Linked DNA regions of Canis lupus familiaris. The protein of the gene in region 1 purifies or fractionates together with the protein of each later gene. This does not show direct contact. Links are inferred from orthologs where the notes say so. Each region holds a gene or a part of one and is shown on either strand. Other genes may lie near its edges.

Region 1 (4,195 bases):
AGCAGGTCCTCTTGTCCTTGCGGTAGACTTGACAGTGATGGGGCTGACCTCCTTACCAAGCTGCTGCAGGTAAGCCCACCCTCCTGGGCCAGCCTTGGGGGTTAGGGGATCCTAGGTGTGGGGAGACAGGGAGCTCCAGGGGGAGGGTCTGGGGTGGGGAGGAAGAGAGGCCTACTTGTTGAAGGTGTCAATACACCACCAGTGCTGCCACCGCCCCTGCCCCTATCCCTCTTTCCCCTACTCAGTTTGAAGGTCGCAATCGGATCTCCGCGGAGGATGCCATGAAACATCCATTCTTCCTCAGTCTGGGGGAGCGGATCCACAAACTTCCTGACAGTGAGTGGAACTGGTAGGGGGGTGTGGGGAACAAGACATGGGGCAGATTGTGCAGGGCTCTGGCTAGGTCATCTCTGAGGGGGCACATCCTTGTTCACAAGTGTGGTGTGTTTATTACAAAAACTATTTAGCTTTCAGTTACTTTTTACCTTTCATGGAAATTTTTAAATCTACATGAAAATAGATGCAACATCACTTTCCCTTTTTTTTGTAAATATTTTTTTATAAAATACATATTGAGGGATCCCTGGGTGGCTCAGCAGTTTAGCGCCTGCCTTTGGCCCAGGGCGTGATCTTGGAGTCCTGGGATCAAGTCCCACATTGGGCTCCCTGCAAGGAGCCTGCTTCTCCCTCTGCCTGTGTCTCTGCCTCTCTTTCTCTTTCTCTCATGAATTTATTTCTCTAAATAAAATCTTTAAAAAAAATACATATTGAGAAATGCACAGGTCATAAGTATACACAGCACAGTGAATTTTCACAAACTAAACACACCCATGTAACTGGCATACAGGTCAAGAAATAGGATGTGAGGGTACCTGAGTGGCTCAGTTGGTTAAGATCTGCCTCCAGCTCAGGTCATGATCCCAGGGTCCTGGGATCAAGTCCCATATTGAGCTCCCTGCTCAATGGGGAGTCTGCTCCTCCCTCTCCCTCTGCCCCTCCTTCAGCTTGTGCTTTCTCCTCATTGCTCTCTTGCTCATTCTCACACATGAATTTATTAAATCTTTAAAAAAGGAGAGAAAAAATATGAAAGGATATGAGAAGCTCCCTTGAAGTGCCCTCTTGTTTGCTTTAGGTATTCCTAGCCTCTTCTTAAGGGTTACCCCTATTTGGACTTTTTTTTAAGATTTTATTTATTTATTCATGAGAAGCTGAGAGAGGCAGAGACATAGGCAGAGGGAGAAACAGGCTTCATGGAAGGAGCCCGATGTGGGACTCGATCCCAGGACCCCGGGATCACAACCTGAGCCAAAGGCAGATGCTCAACCACTGAGCCACCCAGGTATCCCCACTAGTTGGATTTCTAACAGCATAGATAAGTTTTCCCCATCCTTGTACTCTACAGAAATGGAATCACACAGGGTATTCTCTTTTTATACTTGATTTAAAAAAAAAGATTTATTTATTTATTTTAGAGAGGACAAGAGTGAGCAAGCAAGTGGAGGGGAAGAGGGAGAGAAATCCTCAAACGAACTCCCAGCTAAGCATGGAGCCCAACTGGGTCTTGATCCTAGGATCCTGAGATCGTGACCTGAGCCGAAACCAAGAGTTGGACACTTAACTGACTGAGCCACCAGGCACTCTAAAGATTTATTTATTTTAGAGGGAGAAAGAGAGAGTAGGCAGTGGGGAGGGACATAAATATAAGGAAAGAATCTTAAACAGTCTCCATGCTGAGCACACAGCCCAACACGGGGCTCAATTTCAGGACCCTGAGATCAGGACCTGAACCAAAACCAAGGGTCTGATGCTAAACTGACTGTGCCACCCAAGTGCCCCTTCATGCCTGATTTAAAAAAACTTCTTAATATGGACACTTTAAAATTATATATATTTAGGGGTGCTTGGCTGATTCAGTCAGTGGAGCTAGGACTCTTGATCTTGGGGTTGTAAGTTTGAGTCTCATGTTGGGTGAAGAGATTACTTGAAAAAAATTAAATAGAGGCCCTTGGGTGGGTCAGTTGGTTAAGCGTCCAGCTCTTGGTTTTGGCTCAGGTCGTGATCTCAGGGTTGTGAGCACCACATCAGTCTCTATGCTCTGCATGGAATCTGCTTGTCCTTCTGCCTCCCTCCTTCCCTCTCTGCCCCTCTCCACACTTCTCTTTCTCTTGCTCACTCGCTTGCTTTCTCTCAAAATCTTATTTTAGAAAATAAATGATACTTATTTATATATTAGATGAAATACTGTGAGTCCCCAAGTACTCTAACATCTCATCAACTTGTGGCCAATCTAGTTTTATCTATATTCCCTCTGATTATTTTGAATCAGATCCCAGATATATCATTCATCTATAAATTTAGCATGTATCTCAAACATTTAATAACTATCGTTATTATAGCTTTAAAAAATTGGCCCACTTCCTGTATCTCCCCAGTGGTTTAGTCTAAATCAAATCCCAGTGTTCATCACCTGGACTCAACAGATGGTAATTGCAACACTGTTATCACACTTGACAAAATTACTGATTTCCCAGTGTCCTGTAATAATCCATATTCCCTAGTTGTAGCTGGTTTGTGTGTAAGGATTATTTGACAGGTGAAAGCCATGCCTCTCAAAGAAAAGGCAATTTTTGGTAATTCCAATAGGGCCATGTGGGCAGTGATCCTGGATGGGCCTATGGGTCATTTTCCACGGTCTGTCTTCTACCCACAGCTACTTCCATATTTGCACTAAAGGAGATCCAGCTACAAAAGGAGGCCAGCCTTCGGTCTTCGTCAATGCCTGACTCGGGTAGGTGTGGCCTCGCCCTCTTTCCCTGCCCCAGCCACCTACTTGCTTACCTACCAACAGCCATCCGCTCTGCTTTCCCCTGCAGGCAGGCCAGCTTTCCGCGTGGTGGACACCGAGTTCTAAGCTGAGTTCTAAGCCACAAACCGAGGCCCCAGCAGGCAGCAGCAGCTGGAGGGATGCCACTCCCCTCACAGGGCAGCCCCCAACTGCATCCTTCTTGCTTGCTGCCTGCCTATCTGCCTGACTCATGCTCGCCTGCCCACATGTTCCCTGCTGCCTGTCCGAACACCCGACCATTGGCCTGTCAGCCCACCCATTGGCCTGTCTGCTGGGTGCTAACAAAGCTCTCATCGCTCCTTCGCCTGGTTTGTCTGTCTGTCTGTCTGTCTCTGTCTCAGTCTCAGTAGTTGCCGGCGGACAGCATGGTTGTGCCAGCCTCCCACACTGAGGCCAGGCCTACCCCTCTTCCCCATCATATCCTCCCCCAGGACCACTGACCGCTACCCGACGGCCAGCCAGGGGTCCGGAGCTAGTCCAGGCTGGGGATCTCGGCTCAGACAGGATCTGGCAATGCCTTGGGTCTGAGGCTTCCCTTGCCTGCTTTCCTGCCTGCCCCACTTGCCTCATGTTGTGTGGGCTTTTTTTTTGTTTGTTTGTTTCACTCATTGTCGTTTTTTAATTATTTTAAATGAGGTTTTCATTTTTTAAATGCAATATCTCTGTATACAGACTGGCTGGGCCCCACCCCCTGCGTGTGGCCCTCCCACAGTATTTTGTGCAATGAAGCCCCGCTCTCAGCCTTTCCAAGGCAGGGACACAGCCCCTATTTGGAACCCTGACCATCACTAGACCCTGGGGTTGGCTAAGGGAAAGCATGCCTCGACCATTCGCCTTCCTACCCCACCCCACCCCCACCTGCCATCCCCAGCAGCAGGGGGACCTGGGGACTACGGGAGACTCTCTGGGAGGTGGATGAGGTGGGGGGGGCCCCCACTCTTTCCTTCCTGCAGTCCCACAGCTGGGGCCTCCTTCCTTCTCAGGGTCTCCTTAGCCCAACCCTCCTGCCCCTGTCCCACTCGGTGCTGTTGAGTAGGGGCCCTGCCAGGAACTGACCAACTCTTCAAGGAGCCATAGTGTGTATATGTGCACAAGCAGGGGCAGAGGGGTGCATGGGGGTCTGTGCCCAGGCATTATCCCCTAACCCCTGGGGAGGGTGAGGCAGGGCAGGGACAGTCTCTGGGGTCAGTCCCAGATGGGTGATTACCTCCCCGTCCTCCACTCTAAACCTGGGGCCCTCAAATGGGGTGGGAGGGCTGGGGTGGGGGCCCTCCTAGTGGGGTTTGGGGGGTTGGGTTCCTGAATGCACCATAATCGCTGTATGAAATATTAAAAAGTCTAAAGTGAAAA
Region 2 (5,925 bases), on another chromosome or scaffold:
AAGTTTCTATGTGTCAATTACTGACCATATGACTTTGGGCAAGTCATTTCTCCTCTCTCTGCCTCACTTTTTGTCTTAAAGAAAGGACAATATTATCCTAGGGTTATTGTGAATACTAACAAGCAGAGCAGCATCTGGCACAAAGTAAACAATATCTAAGGGCTGCAAGCATTACTACCACTGTCGTTAAGTCTTTTTGTTATTTCTCAATCCCAGAATAATTTTATAAGAAATACCTAGGGAGTTAGTTGATGAGTCCCATATACATTTCCAAAAACATGAATTACCTAACACCACAAAGTACTTTGTACTTTGAGTACAAAGACAGGACAAGTTGCTGGTAGGTGTCATAGAAACCTAACTGCCCTAACTGCCCTGACTCAGTCACTGAAACACTATAGGACAAATATTACCCATTGTGTTTTGAGCAGGGAAAACATAAATTCAAACCTTATGCCTCTGTGATTTTAAGAAACTGACCTATCACAGAAGCCCCATGAACTCCTCTGAATCTTCAATTCTATCTGTCTGAGATGTCTTTAGGAATAAAGATGGTACTTGAGCACTTCAGGTGTTATATACTAGAATAAAGAATGCTTCAGTAGTAGTTTTTAAATGTTTACTAATCATCTATCAATATAATTCAGAAGTTAAAATCTATACCTATATGCTATTTCTATATGCTATTTAACTTAAATCTGTTCTCTTCTCCCAGCTTGATACTGAATGAATTTCTATGGAAAATGTCCCTGAACAACAGACTTATCCAGCCAGGGATTCTCAATCCTACCTATATCTTCGAATTACCTGGAGAGCTTTAAACATACTAACACCAAGGCCCAGTCCTAGATTTCTGGTGTAATTGAAACCAATGTTGAGAAACATATATAGGTAAATCCTATAAGTATTATTTATTGAATTTGGCAGAGAAAATATCGTTTAAATAGTAGATTAGGGGATGCCTGTGTGGCTCAATGGTTGAGCGTCTGCCTTTGGCTCGGGCATGATGGCAGGGTCCTGGGATGGAGTCCCACATTGGGTTCCATGCAGGGAGCCTGCTTCTCCCTCTGCCTATGTCTCTGCCTCTCTCTGTCTCCCATGAATGAATGAGTAGATAAATAAATAAATGTGAATTAGTATTTCGGTTTAAACTAACATCATCAGGGCAGCCCGGGTGGCTCAGCAGTTTAGCGGCGCCTTCAGCCCAGGGCGTGATCCTGGAGACCCGGGATCGAGTTCTGAGTCGAGCTCCCTGCATGGAGCCTGCTTCTCCCTCTGCCTGTGTCTCTGCCTCTCTCTCTCTCTCTCTCTCTCTCTCTCTCTCTCCTCTCTGTGTATTCTCATGAATAAACAAATAAAATCTTTTTTTAAAAATAAATAAATAAACTAACATCATCATATGAACTAAGTTCTGGAGCAAGAGGACAGTACAAGCCTAGATTAGAAATCTTTTTAACATGTGCGAGAGTGTCTTAAACTATCCTGAAATTCCAAAACCAGATTTGGTGGTCCTCTGAAGTTTTCTCAAAACTACTTGAGACCAAATCTTAGATTTCTTTCAAATGAAAGAACACACAATACTATTCTCTTTTTGTCTAGCAAAATCCTTCTAAGACGTAGTGCCAGGGGATCCCTGGGTGGCGCAGCGGTTTGGCGCCTGCCTTTGGCCCAGGGTGCGATCCTGGAGACCCGGGATCGAATCCCACATCGGGCTCCCGGTGCATGGAGCCTGCTTCTCCCTCTGCCTATGTCTCTGCCTCTCTCTCTCTCTCTGTGTGTGACTATCATAAATAAATAAAAATTAAAAAAAAAAATCCTTTAAGACGTAGTGCCAAATACCTGGTTATAATTACTTTTTTTCCTCTCATTTCCTTACTATAGTCAGTAATAGCATGCAGCTTGGCTCTAAGAAATGTACATCTTCCTTTTGTATTTTTTAAATTTGTATTTAAAACATAAAGCTTCCTCCCAATATTAGTGCACAGCATGGAGAAATTATTTCCAAATGTTTTTGCCTGTCAGCGTTGTATAAGACTCGGTAATGGCTTTCTATAATAAACTCCTGTATTCATTCATTCCTTTAAAATATAATACTTATTAAAACCTTTACTATATACCACACATTTCTTTCAACTGCTTGGACCATACCAATAATCAAGACAGTCCAGACTTTAATACCCTTCTAGACGACTTTAAATGCATTAAAGTATAACTGTAGTTCAAAGACATCTAAAGAGTAGGTTAAGATAATGGAAATCTATTATAACTACACCAGAAATATCACACGGAACCCTAATTACTAAGTGCCTACTATAAACCAGATGTTACATTAGTGCCTTTAAGATACAGTACTCCTTTAATAAAGTTGCTGTCCTGCAGAGATGACATAACTCTTTAGAAAAAATTAAGAGGCCAAACAATGAGAAAATTCTTTCCTTTAGCAGAGTTTAAATTTGGTTTTCCAGACTAGAGGGAATTCTCCATCCTAAAGCTGACTTGTAATAGAGTTGTGTCAATTCATTCACACAAGAAATTTTTCATCTTAGTTGAACTACACCAACTGTATGAAGATTTGGGGGTTAAAACAAGAAAATCACGTTGCATGAGAATATACTTCCAAGTTCACATTTTAAGTTGAAAATTATGTAAATTCAAGCATGATGCATAAACTACCTATCCATGATAAGCCAGGTAGCTTAAGGATAAATTAGTACTAAGGAAGATACTGTGGAACCAATAATATAAATACACATTACCAGGTGCAGTGATCAGCCCCTTATCTTCCCTTACAAACACTAGTCCGAACATCACTCAGCTCAATCAGAAATCCATAGGACAGTCATTCTGCGCCAAGCAAAAACCGGGTGACAACCCAAAGCTGTCTCCAAACCATTCTGATAATAATTGAGTTTGCTGTGTGTGTGTTTTAAGTATTCAGGTGACTCTATTTCACTCCAATCCTGCACATACCTCCCCGCCACAAAAAAAAAAAAAAAAAAAAAATTAAGTTTTTAACGGAAATAAGGAGCTGCCCAATGGGGTCAATCTGTAAGTTTCCGGGGGAAGCCGATACACGCCAACCCTGTTCTCCCCACTCTAGGTAGAGACTGATTCCGAAAAGGGATTCACTCATTTCCGCCAAACATCATCCAGTCCTTCCGCCTCCCAAAGGACGAACGAGAAGAACTCGGCGTGCGGGGCCCGCAGGCTCTCGGGCCGCCCCCAGCCCAGCACCGCCGCTCTCGGCTGGAGCGCGGCCAGCTCGCGCCGCCTCTCCACCTGCGCCCCCGCCCCGCGCTACTCCCGAGCCGCCCGCTCGGGGCCTCGGGCCTCGGGGCCTCGGGGTCTCGGGGGCCGGGGGGGCCGGGGGGCCGGGGGGCCCGGGGGCGAAGACCCGGTCCTGCCCTGCGGACTCCGGGGCGCAGGCAGAGGCGCGGCGCTGGCGAGGCTCACCGTCGATGTTCTCCCGGTCGCTGATGTGCTGCAGGTTGCAGCCCGTGTCCTCGCGGCTCAGGTCCGCGTCGGGCCGGTAGGACTCCAGCCGGGAGTGGGCATTCCTGCGGAGCTTGGGGCTGGACGACACGCAGCACGAGGTAGTGTTCCCCATCTTCGGCGGCCCCGGCTCCTGCGGCTCTCGCCTTCCTCCCGGTCCCCCGGCGCGGGGCGCGGGGCGCGGGGCGCGGGGCGCGGGCGGCGGGCGGCGGGCGGCGGGCGCGAGGAGGGGAGGCCCGCCCGCCGCCGCGGGAGGGGGCGGAAGCGGCGGCCGGCCCCCGGGTCAGCAGCGGCGGCGGCGGCGGCGGGTCCTCGCCATGGGCGGCGGCGGCGGCGGCGGCGGCGACGAGCGGGCGGCTCCCGGCTCCCCCCTGCCTCGCTGCGCGCCCGCCCAAGTCCCGCGGGCCTGTCCGCGGCGGAGGAGCGCTCGGGTCCGCGCGACTGCGGCCGCCGAGCCCGGCTCACCCCGCCGCGGCCATGGCGGGCGGCGCCGCGCAGGCCGCCTCACCCCCCGCGCTTCCCGGTCGGCGCCCGGGTCTCCGGCGGCGGCGGCGGCGGCCCACGAACAGCTTCCGGTTCAAGCGAGGGAGACGCGAGTTCGTGAGGGCGGAAGGGCCGGCGGGCGGGCGTCGGTGCGGCCCTCGGGCGGGGCGCGGGGCGCGGGGCGCGGGGAGCCGGGAGCCGGGAGCCGGGGAGCCCCGCGCGGCGAGCGAGGATGCCCGCCCCCGCCCCCGCCCCCTACGGCGCCCGCCCCGCCCGGTCGCCGCCTCTTCCCTCTGCCCTGGAAGCGGATGGGCGGCCGAGGGAGGCGGCGCGCCGAGTACGGAGCAGGGGTCGGGGCCGCCCTCGGGCAGGCGGGCGCGGGGGCCGCAGACCCAGCCGGTGGGAGCTCCGCTCTCGGCGTCTTCCACCTCCCCCGAGCCCTCCCCGGGGACCCGAAGTGCGCGGCGGGCCTGCGCCGCCCTGGGCCCGGCCGGGTCCCCGGGGGCCGCGGATAGGGGGGACGGAGCCGGAGGAGGGGCTGGGGGCGCAGTGGGGGAGGGGAGGGGAGGGGTGCGCCGGGGTGCCGCGGGGGGGCGGGGCGGGGACGGAGCCGGAGGAGGGGCTGGGGGCGCAGTGGGGGAGGGGAGGGGTGCGCCGGGGTGCCGCGGGGGGGGCGGGGCGGGGACGGAGCCGGAGGAGGGGCTGGGGGCGCAGTGGGGGAGGGGAGGGGAGGGGTGCGCCGGGGTGCCGCGGGGGGGGGCGGGGCGAGGACGGAGCCGGAGGAGGGGCTGGGGGCGCAGTGGGGGAGGGGAGGGGTGCGCCGGGGCGCCGCGGGGGGGCGGGGCGAGGGACGGAGCCGGAGGAGGAGCTGGGGGCGCAGTGGGGGAGGGGAGGGGAAGGGGTGCGCCGGGGTGCCGCGGGGGGGCGGGGCGAGGACGGAGCCGGAGGAGGGGCTGGGGGCGCAGTGGGGGAGGGGAGGGGAGGGGTGCGCCGGAGCGCCGCGAGGGGGTGGGGCGGGGGACGGAGCCGGGCGGCGGGCGGCGGGCGGCGGGCCGCGGTAGGGAGGGGCTGGGGCCGCGAAGGCTGTCTCGCACACCGGCGGGAAAGGGGTTGTCTTGTTTGGCCTGTTTTGTTTTAAGCATTTAAAAGGAAACGGGACCCTGATTTGGGATTTCTCGCGTCTACTTTGAGTTCTGACCTTGTTTTAGAGGGTGGGGTAGATCTTGGGGGTTCCCGGGCCACACTCCTGTCGAAGTAGCCGCAGTGGGAAGTTAACGTGCGGACCGGGACCGCTAACGGGCGCTGTCCTGCACTTTCCAGGGCTGCTGAGTGCGTCTTGCGGAGACCAGCGTAGCCTGAGCGTGTGAGCGGAGATCAAGGGACGCGATGGGACGTGCCTGGCCCACGGTTGGCGGGCTCCATGCCCTCCCAGCACCCCACAAAGACCTCCTCAGGGTGCAGAAATAATCTTCCCATTCTTTCCAAATAGTCAGTGAGCAAGTCAGGAGAGACTCAGGGGAAAAAATGGCTGTGAACACAAAAAATACGGTGCAACCCTCTTCATTTATATCTGGGGATACTTGAAGCCCAAAAAGATGAAGCGCCTCGATTTGCCCAGGGTCCCAGTACAAGTCAGTGATAGATGCAAGCACTGAAAGGGAAGAAAAGGATTGCGGAAACTAATACATCATCAGCAACGTGTGGACTTCTTACCTGAGGCTTTATAAACACGTATTTCGTTTAATTCTTGATATCTAGCCCTTTTTACAACCTGTACTCTCTCTGCCATGCAGTCATGTTTATACATTTATCAGCCAATAATCAAAAGAGCCTCATGCTCTCCAGTGGATTAATGCCATTTGTTGCAATAAGTGGCGGATGTCCTTGGAAAATAAATGGCAGCAAAGTACTGATGTTGACAAGATGAGAAAGGGAGTTCCAAAGAATTGC

What was found. Proteins that work in one complex are often made in the same cells at the same time.
Region 2: the proteins of CDK16 (region 1) and CCNY purify together in Homo sapiens (affinity purification with mass spectrometry; 3 studies listed by BioGRID and IntAct, counting the BioPlex papers as one, with this or other methods). This does not show direct contact. The link is inferred for Canis lupus familiaris from reciprocal best matches to the Homo sapiens genes CDK16 and CCNY.

Annotation. Positions count from the first base shown.
Region 1 is NC_049260.1:41,021,653-41,025,847, forward strand, and holds the end of CDK16 (cyclin-dependent kinase 16), read left to right. Parts: intron 1-5; coding exon 6-69; intron 70-245; coding exon 246-336; intron 337-2,710; coding exon 2,711-2,788; intron 2,789-2,873; coding exon 2,874-2,911; 3' UTR 2,912-3,149; downstream 3,150-4,195. UniProt on the Homo sapiens protein: Protein kinase that plays a role in vesicle-mediated transport processes and exocytosis. Regulates GH1 release by brain neurons. Phosphorylates NSF, and thereby regulates NSF oligomerization. Required for normal spermatogenesis.
Region 2 is NC_049223.1:1,837,965-1,843,889, forward strand, and holds the start of CCNY (cyclin-Y), read right to left. Parts: upstream 3,662-5,925; 5' UTR 3,608-3,661; coding exon 3,454-3,607; intron 1-3,453. UniProt on the Homo sapiens protein: Positive regulatory subunit of the cyclin-dependent kinases CDK14/PFTK1 and CDK16.